Linked DNA regions of Bombyx mori. The protein of the gene in region 2 interacts with the protein of the main gene of each other region in a biochemical or structural test. Links are inferred from orthologs where the notes say so. Each region holds a gene or a part of one and is shown on either strand. Other genes may lie near its edges.

Region 1 (5,919 bases), on a different chromosome or scaffold from region 2:
GAACACAACACTAAGAGAACTAAATTTTATCTTCAAAGGCGGAGAGATCAACGATTTCGTTACACAGACGAGAAATGTGGAATCGATAGCAGTTGTAAGAGCCTACCAGGAATCTGGATTTAAGACATTGCATCGGAATAACAGCTATCCCGCACTTCAGATCAGACCCTGTTTGCATGTTTATTTTGAGACAAATTTAGGTAGAACAACTAAAGCATGCGGTCTTATAACGCCCCAATATCACTCTCTTATTCTCTTATTTAGAGAGAATTTGAGAACTTGGAACATTAAGTATTATACAAGTATTACGTATTTGTAGTTGGAATTGAAGAAATAAATTAATAATTCTCAAATTGTATTCACCTTTTCATTGACAATTCCTATGTTTTTTTTTTTTCTATATTGATGTGATAGAAACTATAATTAAATAGCAAAATGAAACATACCTATGATATGTATAAGTCAAACTACAAGCAACGATGTTCATGGTCGGATTGGTACGCACCATGGCCACGACATCATGACGTGACAGATCAATTAACTTCGTAAGAATTACGAACGATATACCTTATTAGGTATATCGTATTATATCGTATAGCTTATTAGCTAGCATGTGTATTCTTTTAGATCACAAATATATTTATGGTTAAATATATTCAAATTATTGAATCAACTAAAAATCTTAATCACACGATTATTACTATCTACATGAGGGGTATCATAAAAATAAATTGTGTATCATTTATGAATAGGAAAAGACAAAACAGTTAAGTACCGCTTTTTTCCTGTTTCTTAGCCAATAATCTTTCTTTTCTTAATTTCATAACATTAAAGCCATTGACCAGGTTTCCTTTCAAAATAAACCGATCTAAAGAGAAAATATAAGCCGAAAACGAATCTAGACCTTGAGATGTCAGTTATTAAGGTCGAATTTCGAACATTGGGCGTACACTAGTTAAAATAATTATGTGAAAATTCTAATTCGACAAAAATGCGCTACATTTAATTTTTATATTATAGTAGGATGAAAGTGTTCATGGCCTACATGGTATTATGTATTTACCAAAAATCACAGACATAGAAAGTAATGCTGGCATTAAAATTAAGACATGAGGTCACAGACTCAATTTAATTGCATCTTTGCGATAACGCCCCCTTCTGGTCGCTGCAGGCCTAAACGGGGGCGGTAAAAGACCCAAAAAAAGGGGGGCATTGTGTAAAGGCTTGGGAGGCGATTTGTAATTTCATCTAGGACTCTTAGACACCGGCTGAGCTCTCACTATAGTGGTTTTTAAATAGGTGAAAAAATAGGAGTGCTAAAAAATTATTTAATCTCAAGGTGGGAAGTAGACAAAATAAGTTTGAGAGCCCCTGGCGTAAAGGATGATCCACCCATCAATCTGGAACACGACTGCTGCAACAGCAGAAATAGACATAATTACTTGAATCTAGATGTACACTACTTTCTAGGTTTCTACACAAAAAATCACCTCCAAATTCCTAGATCATTAATTAAGATAGAGTGAGTCACAATCTGTGACATTGTATAATAATCACTAAAAGTCAATGTTCTTGCGCATTTTTTCATAAATTTGTGTTTTTAAATTTATGAAGTTAGTCAAAAAGGTAGGTGAATCTGATTTACTGTATTTACATTTTCATATTTACTTGTGAATATTTAAATTTATGATAATTTTTAAGACAGCATTTTGAGCTTATGTAATTACTTATGCTAATGAACTGAGGAAAACCCAAATGATTCATATTAGGGTCATGACTAAGCATACAATTCTTATTATATTAATTTATGATTAATGACTATTTACATGGGAAAGGATTAAATATTTTGTTTATTATGTCAGCATATTCTCAGTTTTGTCTATGAACCATTCTTCGGAACAAAGGCAAAAGCATAGGTTTGATTACTATTTTATATTTAACAGTCAATTTAATATAGTAATTTATTTGTATTTTATAAGTCGTAGGCAAAACAAAACGGTTCTGTTGTATTTTTTGTTTGATACCTTTAGTGAGATCAATAAAAAAAATGCAAATACTTCTTGAAAGTGTCAGTGACTGACTACTTTTGAATTTTAACCATTGGGTAAACACTACTTGAACAAAATTTCTGTTTCATTTAAAACTAGATAGCTTTCTATTTAATCTATTTTTAAACATGGAGATAGCTTGTAGGCTATTTTAATAATTTTTGTTTTGCTATATGACAATATTTTTTCATATATTTGAAATGAGTTACATTGATTTTGCATTCATTTGGTTCTCTCATTATTGTTTAGATATATCTTTGAAAACAGTTTGCTGTGACACAACATTTTGGCTAATATACAAATAAACTCACTGATAGATTGAAATTTCAGATTTTGGTGACAAAAGGTTTGTTTTCATTTAATTTGTACTGATTATATGACTTTTCTAGATTTTTTGCTCGTCTTTTTAATAGTTTGTGGTAATAGTAGAACTCTTATATGTAATAGCTATATCTAATGTTAAATATATAGCAATTAATGAATTTAAATAGGCTTAAAGAATACAAAAACTGAAATACATAAAATAATACTACTACTATTACATCATTCTAGAGTAAAACTATTCATGAATGGATGTGAACCGAAGAGTATTGGCAAGGGTTCAAAATTTTGTCAACAGGTTAATGGAACCAGCCATGGTAAAATACAATTTTAAATTGTTGAATGTTTACAAAACATTTTAGTTGATAAGTTTTGAAAGTTCTACACTTTTAAAACTTATCTATGTTAGAGACATATTTACACACATAAATTGGTATTTATGTGTGTAAATATGTTTAGCATATAATACATGAGATGGTTCTCATGTTATTATATTGCTAATCTATACTAGTTACTTATTTTACCAAAATAAGCTTTGGTAAAAGACATACAGAAGAACAAAAAATATATTTAAGTACAATAAATTTCTTTTAGCGACAATACATTATTTTTATATCTATGAAGGAACATTTGGTGCTGATGGCCAATATGGGTATCCTAATGTGAGTTGATGGTGATGGTGAGGATGTATATGATTTATTAACATACAATAAATCTATCTTTTCTTTTTCGTCTTCTTAGTTCATTTGGATGATTTTGTTGAGAATATAAACAGTAGGTTAATTCAATGAAATTCAGTGAAAAATATCTTATTTTTGACCATCAAGTTCGTTTTCCAATCCATTTTAGAACTTAAAACACCGAGAATGATTTATTAAATGGGCATTGATAGCAACAAAATCATAACATATTGGCCTTTAACATAAAATACACATTTAAAGATAAATAAACGATTACTGGAGGAATGTAACATTAATTGTGCATGTATTTTGAAGAGATAATTATACTCTTGTATGCCTTTAAAATGATTTTGTTTCGTCCTGTTTAACAAAATAGAACTTTCGATTACACATAGAACTACACATGCACTGTAATATGGTGATTAGATTCATTATGAGAGAAAGTACTTAGAATTCATTACCGAACTACAGAAACTAGCACAGAAATAGTTAAAAGAGTTGAGCGGTAACGGGGCTATGAAAACGTCGTCGAAGTCTTTAAATTACGTTTAAAGGAACTACATGGGTGCGGCCAAATGTTGACATGAAACAACTGTAAAATACCATACCTAACAACAATAGCTTGATGTCTTTTGATGCCTGAATACCATTCTCTTTCAAGTTCTTATCGATCAATTTGCTTCGAGCAGCCGCTGCACGCTCTTCGGCCGACTGGGCGCACCCCATATCGGCAGTTCTCCCTATGCTATGGCCGCAGGCCGCCCCGACTCCCGAGCCGGGCGCGCTCTCACCGATCTCTCAGCATGCGCTCTACACGCGTCCTGTCGCTCCGGCACTACCGGAGCCACCCTACACGATATTAGCACCCAATACACGAACCTAACAGTACCACTTTTCACTGATCGTACAATCCGTATTATCACTTTCCTCCAACAAGTAGATGCACCGTAACAAATCTATCGATTTTAGAATGCTCCCGGCACAGAATACCCTTGACGGGAACGCGAACTTAAATTGATTTTACGAACTCGTTCAAATGCGAGATAATGGCGGCCGGATGACAGGCACCAACTCCACTCCGTGACAGCGACCGCGCCCCGCTCGACTGACGTTCGGATCCTTTCGGAATTCTTCGTTCGAGCTCGCTCACACATGCGTGACAATACTACACACGAAAGAGAACAAACGCAATAAAACATTGCGCTTTAATTGAACAATGACCAAAGACAATTATTCACTTTTTTTTTGTCACAACCGGTAAATTCAATTATCTGGCCTTGAATTTTGTTTTCCAATATTTTTAATCAGGTCCAAAAATTGCTTTCTTAATTCTTGCAATTGATCTTAATGTACTCGATATATGTCAGAATATCGCCATAAAATTGCAGCATTTCATTTTCACAGAAGGAGAAATAATTCCTGTATTCTATATACGTAACAAGAATTGTCTAAATTTTAAATAATATTATAGTACCTAACTTTTTTTTTTTTTTTTTTTTTTATGATTGAAGGATTACTGGTGGCCCGGAGGCCTTTCCAGTTTCACCAGGACAGGTGGGCGAGCAAAGGCTCAGCCAGGAGGGGTGGGATTTGCTAACAGCTACCCGAGCGCCTCCGAAGGAGACCTAACAGCTCAAGAGCAGCTGCTTCGCGAATGAATCTACTACCGGATCGGAATCGCGACCCGCTGAGAAGATCCGGCGAGAAACTCAGCGAGCTGATTCATGGGTTAGGTTGCACGGCGAACTCTTTGTCGAGTTCGACGAGTACGGTTAACGAGGTCCCTAAGCCTGCTCCTAGAGCTGAAGGCGTCTAGTGCGAAGGTTATTGGATCTGATGGATCCGTAAGGACGTGTCTAGGGCGTCGACGGTGACTGGCTCCTGCATGATCAGGATTCGGGGAGTACCTAACTACAAAAGCATTCGATGTTTGATTCTATTGACAATAAATTTTCAAAGGTTTTACTACTCCCACCATAGTAACACATTGAAAAATCAAACTGATTCACTTTGAAATCGACAAGACAAAGTTTTTCGTTTGATTATTTCATATATTGGGTCTTTTAATTTCGTCGTTCATCCTAACATGACGACTCAATAAAATCATAAAAAATTATATCTGGTCCTTAAAAGGTAGACATTATTTTTTTATTGCACGAGATGGGTACGAAAAGAAGAAGAGTCTATAGACATCACAAAGTGAATTGCGCCTTCAGATATGAGGTCTAACTCTATTGAGATCTATAGCAGCCAACTTACCAAACCATAATTCATAATTTCATAAAAATCATGAAAGGTAGGCAAAATAGTCGAATGTAACTAATCAAATGTGCCTGTCACTTGTGCTATGAATAAAGTAAGTACTATAAAGGCTTTCAGACTTCAGAATTATCTCATTAGAATAAGTATCTCAATTTAAATAATATAGAACTTCATTGATTATTTACTGGTGTACTAATATGAGCCTGATGTTGAATCTAGAGCTTCATGTTCTTGTGGTGTGTATATGCATAACATTGCGGAATTAGAGGAGTACCTATGTAACTTAATTCACCTAATCAAATTTGATCTTCCGGAACAAAAAAACCTAATTAAAAATGTTATATTTCTAAATAATTTTCATGTCAACCTGAACCTTTTCTAAAAACAAAAAAATAATTAAATTTGGGGTATTATTCTTAATACCCGTATTTTTTTTGTGTTATGAAAACTATAAAATCACAGTTCGTATTCAAAACAAACCTGTGTTAGTAAAGCTACTATCAAAATTAATACATGTAAATTTTACCTACGTATGAAACGCAGATGAAACCTTTCTTGGTTTTGAGCTAAGGAAAGTTATTGATCAAATTGAGAAAACAATAATTATT
Region 2 (5,730 bases):
GCCCTTGTAGGCAGACGAGCAAACGGCCCACCTGATGGCGAGTTGTTACCGTCGTCCATGGACTTCAGGAATGCCAGGGGCAAAGCCAAACCGCTGTCTACCGTTTAATGCTCTCCACAAGCCTCGTTGGAAAAAGGACATGTCATAGAGCTCGGGAAACATCATAGAGGGGAGTTCATTCCAAAGCCAGATGGTATATGGCAAAAAAGATCTCTGGAATCGCACTGTGGATGAATGCAGTGGTTCTAAGTTCTAATATAGAAATAACTTAGCACCTTTTATAGGAAGTGGTCATATTAATATTTCATCATAATCATTATCAGTCTATAGCAGTCCACTGCTGGACATAGACCTCTCCCATTGCATGCCACTGAGCACAATAATAATATTTACTTTTTTATAATTGATGAATACCGAAAGTTCCAACTGAATAAATTATTCTTAATAGTATGTTGCATGAAGATCGGGCGGCATAAACATAAATATCAACATGTGGGCACGAATTAACACATTTCAGATAGTGCTTAAGTATGCTGAAATATATGGGGAGGCAACTAAGTATACATTAACTTTGACAACTACAAGAAACATTAACTTTCCTATAATATATTTTGTAATAACATTGGATTACTTACATCGCTAGCAGTTAGCTGATGTTTCAAAAATTGAAGTAGTATGACCAGTGAAGTCATATCTCTACCTTCATAAATATGGTCAGGCTTTTGTTTGTCTCCAATTTCTTCTGTCAGGGACATATAAAACAGTGTGTGGATGCTGAAATTTGAAAGTAGAAACATTGAACTGGTGGTTAAAAATTACCAGTGGTAGGGCATCTTGTGAGTCCGCACAGGTAGATACCACTACCCTTCCTATTTCTGCAATGAAGCAGTAATGTGTTTTGATTTGAAGGGTGGGGCAGCCATTGTACTTTAGAAATTGAGACCTTAGAACTCATGTTTCAAGGTACCCACCTTGTTGACATGTAAGCTGTAGATGTCTATGGGCTCCGCTAACCACTTAACATCAGGTGCACCCTGAACCCCTCCGTCCATTTAAAAAATATAAAACTTTTATAATTTAATCTTTTAAACTTATTTTAATTGTTATCAAAAATATAATACCTTGTTAGTAGATTAACAATATTATTCATTAAATCTAAATCATTTGATTTGGAGGAGGTTTGTACAGTCATTATCTTCCCAAGCACAGACACCAAGTTTGTAAATTGTTGTTTCTCTTTCTCTGTTGTGGGAGTATCTTCATTAGGCAATATTATGAGGTTAAATAAAGCCTTCGATAACTCGCACACAATTACTCGATCTTCATCCTGTAAGAGAATTTAAATATTTAATCGTTTTAATTTTATGTAAAAATGCTTCTTTATTCATGTTTTAAAAGAAAATTTTACAACCATGTCAGATTGTTTCTTTAAACAAGATATCCCAAAATTTAATGATAACATTTGTAATCCATAATGCAATGAAACTTAATTTATATTAATTACTAAATTAGCAATGTTTATTACATTGATTTGTAATTTCAATTAATGGTATGGTGGTAACTAAATGACAAGGATTTTTTTCTCTAGTATAACTTTGCCTTTCACCTGGTTTTCATTGAGTTTTGAAATACCCTGTATATTTATATGTTTAATTAAAAGTATTCAATATCACTGATAAACAATTTACCTTATGAACAGCATTAACTATTAATCATATTTTAATAAATTGTCATAAGCTTAATGTTATATGACAGGCACTACTAGCCAACATTTTACATTTAATAATCACAAGTGTTCATGTTTAAAATTTTCTTATAACTAGGTATACACACTAGGTTAACTACTTATTTCCCAACATTAATTAAAAAACTTACAGTGAAGTAATATTTTGGAGCATCTTCTGAATTTGCACTAACACTCGCCTCATCAGAACTAGGTTGTAAACTTTCAGAATATATTTCATTGAGATAATTAATCATATGCATTGCACCATCCTCGTGCCTAAATTTTAATCTTATGTTTTCTATTAATGCTGTCAGTATGAAGATCAATTTCATATCATACTGCATTAACTCTTTTTTGTAAGGAATGTGTTTGCATATTTTCATTCGTGTGATAAGCCCATGTGCTATTCTTGTGTTTACACAAACATTACGAGCCAGTTCACTATTGAATGTAATATTACACAAACACTTCATAGCTTCAATCGCTACTTCTTTACAGGGCACGACTAATAGAGTTGGGTCCTTTTCAGCAGACTCCATAGGCTCTAACAAGCCTGATTTGTCGATTAATGTTATGACCCAACGTTCACATAGAACATTTTCAATGTCATCTTGGTCACGGCTAAAATTATACATAAAATTTAATTTCATCCTACATATACAGGGTCTCAAGAGACTATTCTGAAAGTCGAAATGGTAATTAGTTACTATCAACAGTGAATAATTATAGAGACAAATATGAAATTACTTTATTTAAATCAATAATGAGAGTTATCATGTTAAATGTATTTTGGTACACACAGCATAAAGCAAAGGCAGGCCAGCAAATTCCCCCTTGTTCTCATGAGACCATACATTTCTTATATCAATTGAATTATAATTATTTTAAAATGCCTATTATTAAAAAAAAAAAATGATGGAAGGGTGTGTCGTGAGCCCGCATGGGTAGGTACCACCACCCTACCTATTTCCTATTTTCTTCTTTCAGAATCACCAGCTCTACTACATGGATTTTCAGGAATGGTTATTCCAGTTCCAATTGTTACAGTCAGTAGAATTTCAAAAAGATTATTATTGTTAGTTAACACAAACCTAAGAATCCTTAAAGCTTTTAAACATAGTGCATGTGTTGAAACCAAAGCATCATTTTGCAGGTGTTGAAAAAGTGTTGTCCACAGTAAAACTCTGTTAAACCTCTTCGTAAGTTCAGGAAATTTGAAAGTTTTTTCGTTCTGAGAAAATTAGATTATTAGATTAACATTCTGTTGGAATTACCAATATACCAAAGAATCCACAGAAATTATTCTCACTCACGTCTTTAACAAATTTTCGTAAAATATTCGTTATCTCTGTTGAGCTCTTACTATTTCTCAGGTCATCAATTTCCATTTCATCCATTTTCTGGTGTGTAATTCAAATTTATTCACTATTTAATTTAAAGTGTACACTCTAATTAACTTATTAGACTACCAATATCAATAAAGTTTTTAAATTGAAATTTCGAATCGAATTATCAAATGCAAATATTGACACCTAATTCTCGAATATATTAAGTGTATAATCTATGCACCTAATGTATTATCGGAGTAGCACGTTCGTCTATGTCACTTTATGTAGGTTTAAAGTTTTAAAGGGGTGAATGAAGTTAGCCCCTCAAAAAAATTTTTTTTTCCTGTTTTCTACTTATTTTCTATTAATTCGTTTGTTCATCATTTGTTCTTGATTGTTCACTGTTAATAATTGTTTGTTCCCCATTTATTTATTTTAAAAAAAATATTAAAAATATATCTAAAAGCTAGCCCCTCGATTGCAATTTTTAATATTTTTTCGTCCTTAATTACTCGTAAATATTCATTTTCGATTGTTCTTATATAAAATACGTTTGTTCTTTTTCGAAATTACTCATTTTTTGTTTAATTAATTGTATTAGTTGAATAAATGTATACAAAATATGTGTACTGCGCATGCCATAAGTGTATAATCTATGGCGCATGCGTCAACTATAATGCCTAAACTTTCTACGCGGTTTTAATCGTGAAAAAAAAACAATTATAAATCCTGAAGGATCAATTAATTGGTATACAGTTTAATTAAAAAAATTAAAAAATAAATAAATAAAATAATGTGCATTCGCGTAAAGTTAGCCCAAATACATTTTTTCCATCCTCCTATATACCTATCGCTATGAAGGTATAAAAAAGATAGGTTAAGAGTTCACATAGGTAATATAAACAAATAAGTAAATATGTTCATTATTTATCTTTCAAGAGATAATGTAGGTATACATTATAATAACATTTTGACACAGTCGAAATTATATTCCTAACATTAGTAAAATAACATTTTAATAATTTTTTTATAGGTTATGTATTGAAATTGTTGGAAAATTATTTCATGTTTTAGCTGGAAAACTACATGGAGAATTATATGCAATACAAGATAATGAGCTCCATCAAATGAATTCGAATGAAACCAAACTGTTTACCATCCAAATTCGATTGTCGGGCAGATAGAAAACGAAAATTCACTCATAGTGAACCTCGGCCTGCATTTGTGAAACGGCAAAGACTCACTATTATCAAGGAAATTGAAGAGACGACTAAAAATGAGATGTGTCGTATTATTATACCTTTGCCATCTTGTAGTCAAGGTAGGTGTAACTGTCAATAATTAGTTACACTCACAGATCTCCTAATCAAATAACAATATCAGAAAAAATGAGAATAGTTAGTTAGTTAGTGGAAGTAGCCAAAATGGGCAAGTGGATCTCAGTTCCTATTACATAAGGTACTAAGAAGTTTGTGAAAATGAAAATTTATCAGTGTAATATCACTTACTTACTTTAACAGTGAAGGAAAACATTGTGATGAAACCTGCACACCTAAATATTCTTAGGATTTTCTTAGGTGTGTAATCCACCAACCAGCACTAGGCCAGCGTGGTGGACTAAGGTCTAAAAACCCTCTCAATGGTAGTGAAGGCCAGTGTCCAGCAAGGGGATATATTATATGGGCTGATGATGATGACTAGGAAGTTAAATACTACTACTACTACTACGACAGTACACATATAATCCTATATATTTACAAACTATACGTTTGTTGGAAATTGCTAACATTATTTCATATTTCCAGATGTCCAGCCACTTGAAAATAGGTGTAGTAATGACAAAGCTATCCAAGTAGCTCCAGCACAGGAACACAAAGGCAAGGCAAGTGTGTATTGCCACATCACCCCTTAATATATCTGAAGCAAGTATAAGTAAACAATCAGAACCAGCAAAAAAAAAACTGTTGTTCCTGAGGACAAATTTGACAGTGATGAGTCAAATGCACCAGCAACAGAAGGATCAACTGTTGACTATGAGTTATCTCTCTATATCTCCACTCCATCAAAGACTTGTGCACTTCAGACTATAGCTCTCAAGAAGACTAAAAAGTTGAAAAAATGAATGTGTTAACAACTTTATCTAAAGTGAAAAATAAACAACGTTTATATATTGGTCTTCCACAAGAATTATGTTTCATAATAGGCTTGATTGAGAAACATACAAATGTTTCTGAACAAAATATTATATTATGTCTGATGAGAATAACATTAAATAGAACATTCTCTCAATTGGCTGATGATTTCGATTTATCTGTAAGTCAAGCAAGCAATATATTTTTCAACAAACTCCCAGAAATTGCAAATGTAATATCACCCCTTGTTAGACTATAAAAAAAACAATACAATAAATATATATGCAGGAAGGATAATTGATGTCAACTTGGTGGAAAATAGAAAGTTTTTAGATAGTTTGCCACCTACAAAACTCTTTTTAAATAAGTAATCCTTACTTATAAATAGGAAGTTTTGTAAGTATTTTCACTCTTCATTCAAAAACTACTGAACAGATTTTAATAAGACTTTTATGCTGGTCTTCTATGGCTAGCAACTCATTATTATTTTGATTCTGTTTTCCACAAATGTGCTAAATATGGGCTTATATATATGAAAAGGAAT

What was found. The genes of interacting proteins can lie anywhere in the genome.
Region 1: of the proteins of synembryn (region 2) and Go, one has a biochemical effect on the other in vitro, tested with the Caenorhabditis elegans proteins (2 studies listed by BioGRID). The link is inferred for Bombyx mori from reciprocal best matches to the Caenorhabditis elegans genes ric-8 and goa-1.

Annotation. Positions count from the first base shown.
Region 1 is NC_085125.1:9,524,545-9,530,463, forward strand, and holds the start of Go (G protein alpha subunit Go), read right to left. Parts: upstream 3,911-5,919; 5' UTR 3,776-3,910; coding exon 3,658-3,775; intron 1-3,657. UniProt on the Caenorhabditis elegans protein: Guanine nucleotide-binding proteins (G proteins) are involved as modulators or transducers in various transmembrane signaling systems. In the 1-cell embryo, probably together with gpa-16, controls nuclear rotation and spindle elongation during mitosis.
Region 2 is NC_085119.1:6,705,536-6,711,265, forward strand, and holds the start of synembryn, read right to left. Parts: upstream 3,322-5,730; 5' UTR 3,124-3,321; coding exon 3,040-3,123; intron 2,958-3,039; coding exon 2,818-2,957; intron 2,348-2,817; coding exon 1,876-2,347; intron 1,328-1,875; coding exon 1,122-1,327; intron 775-1,121; coding exon 636-774; intron 1-635. UniProt on the Caenorhabditis elegans protein: Chaperone that specifically binds and folds some, but not all, nascent G alpha proteins prior to G protein heterotrimer formation, promoting their stability and activity.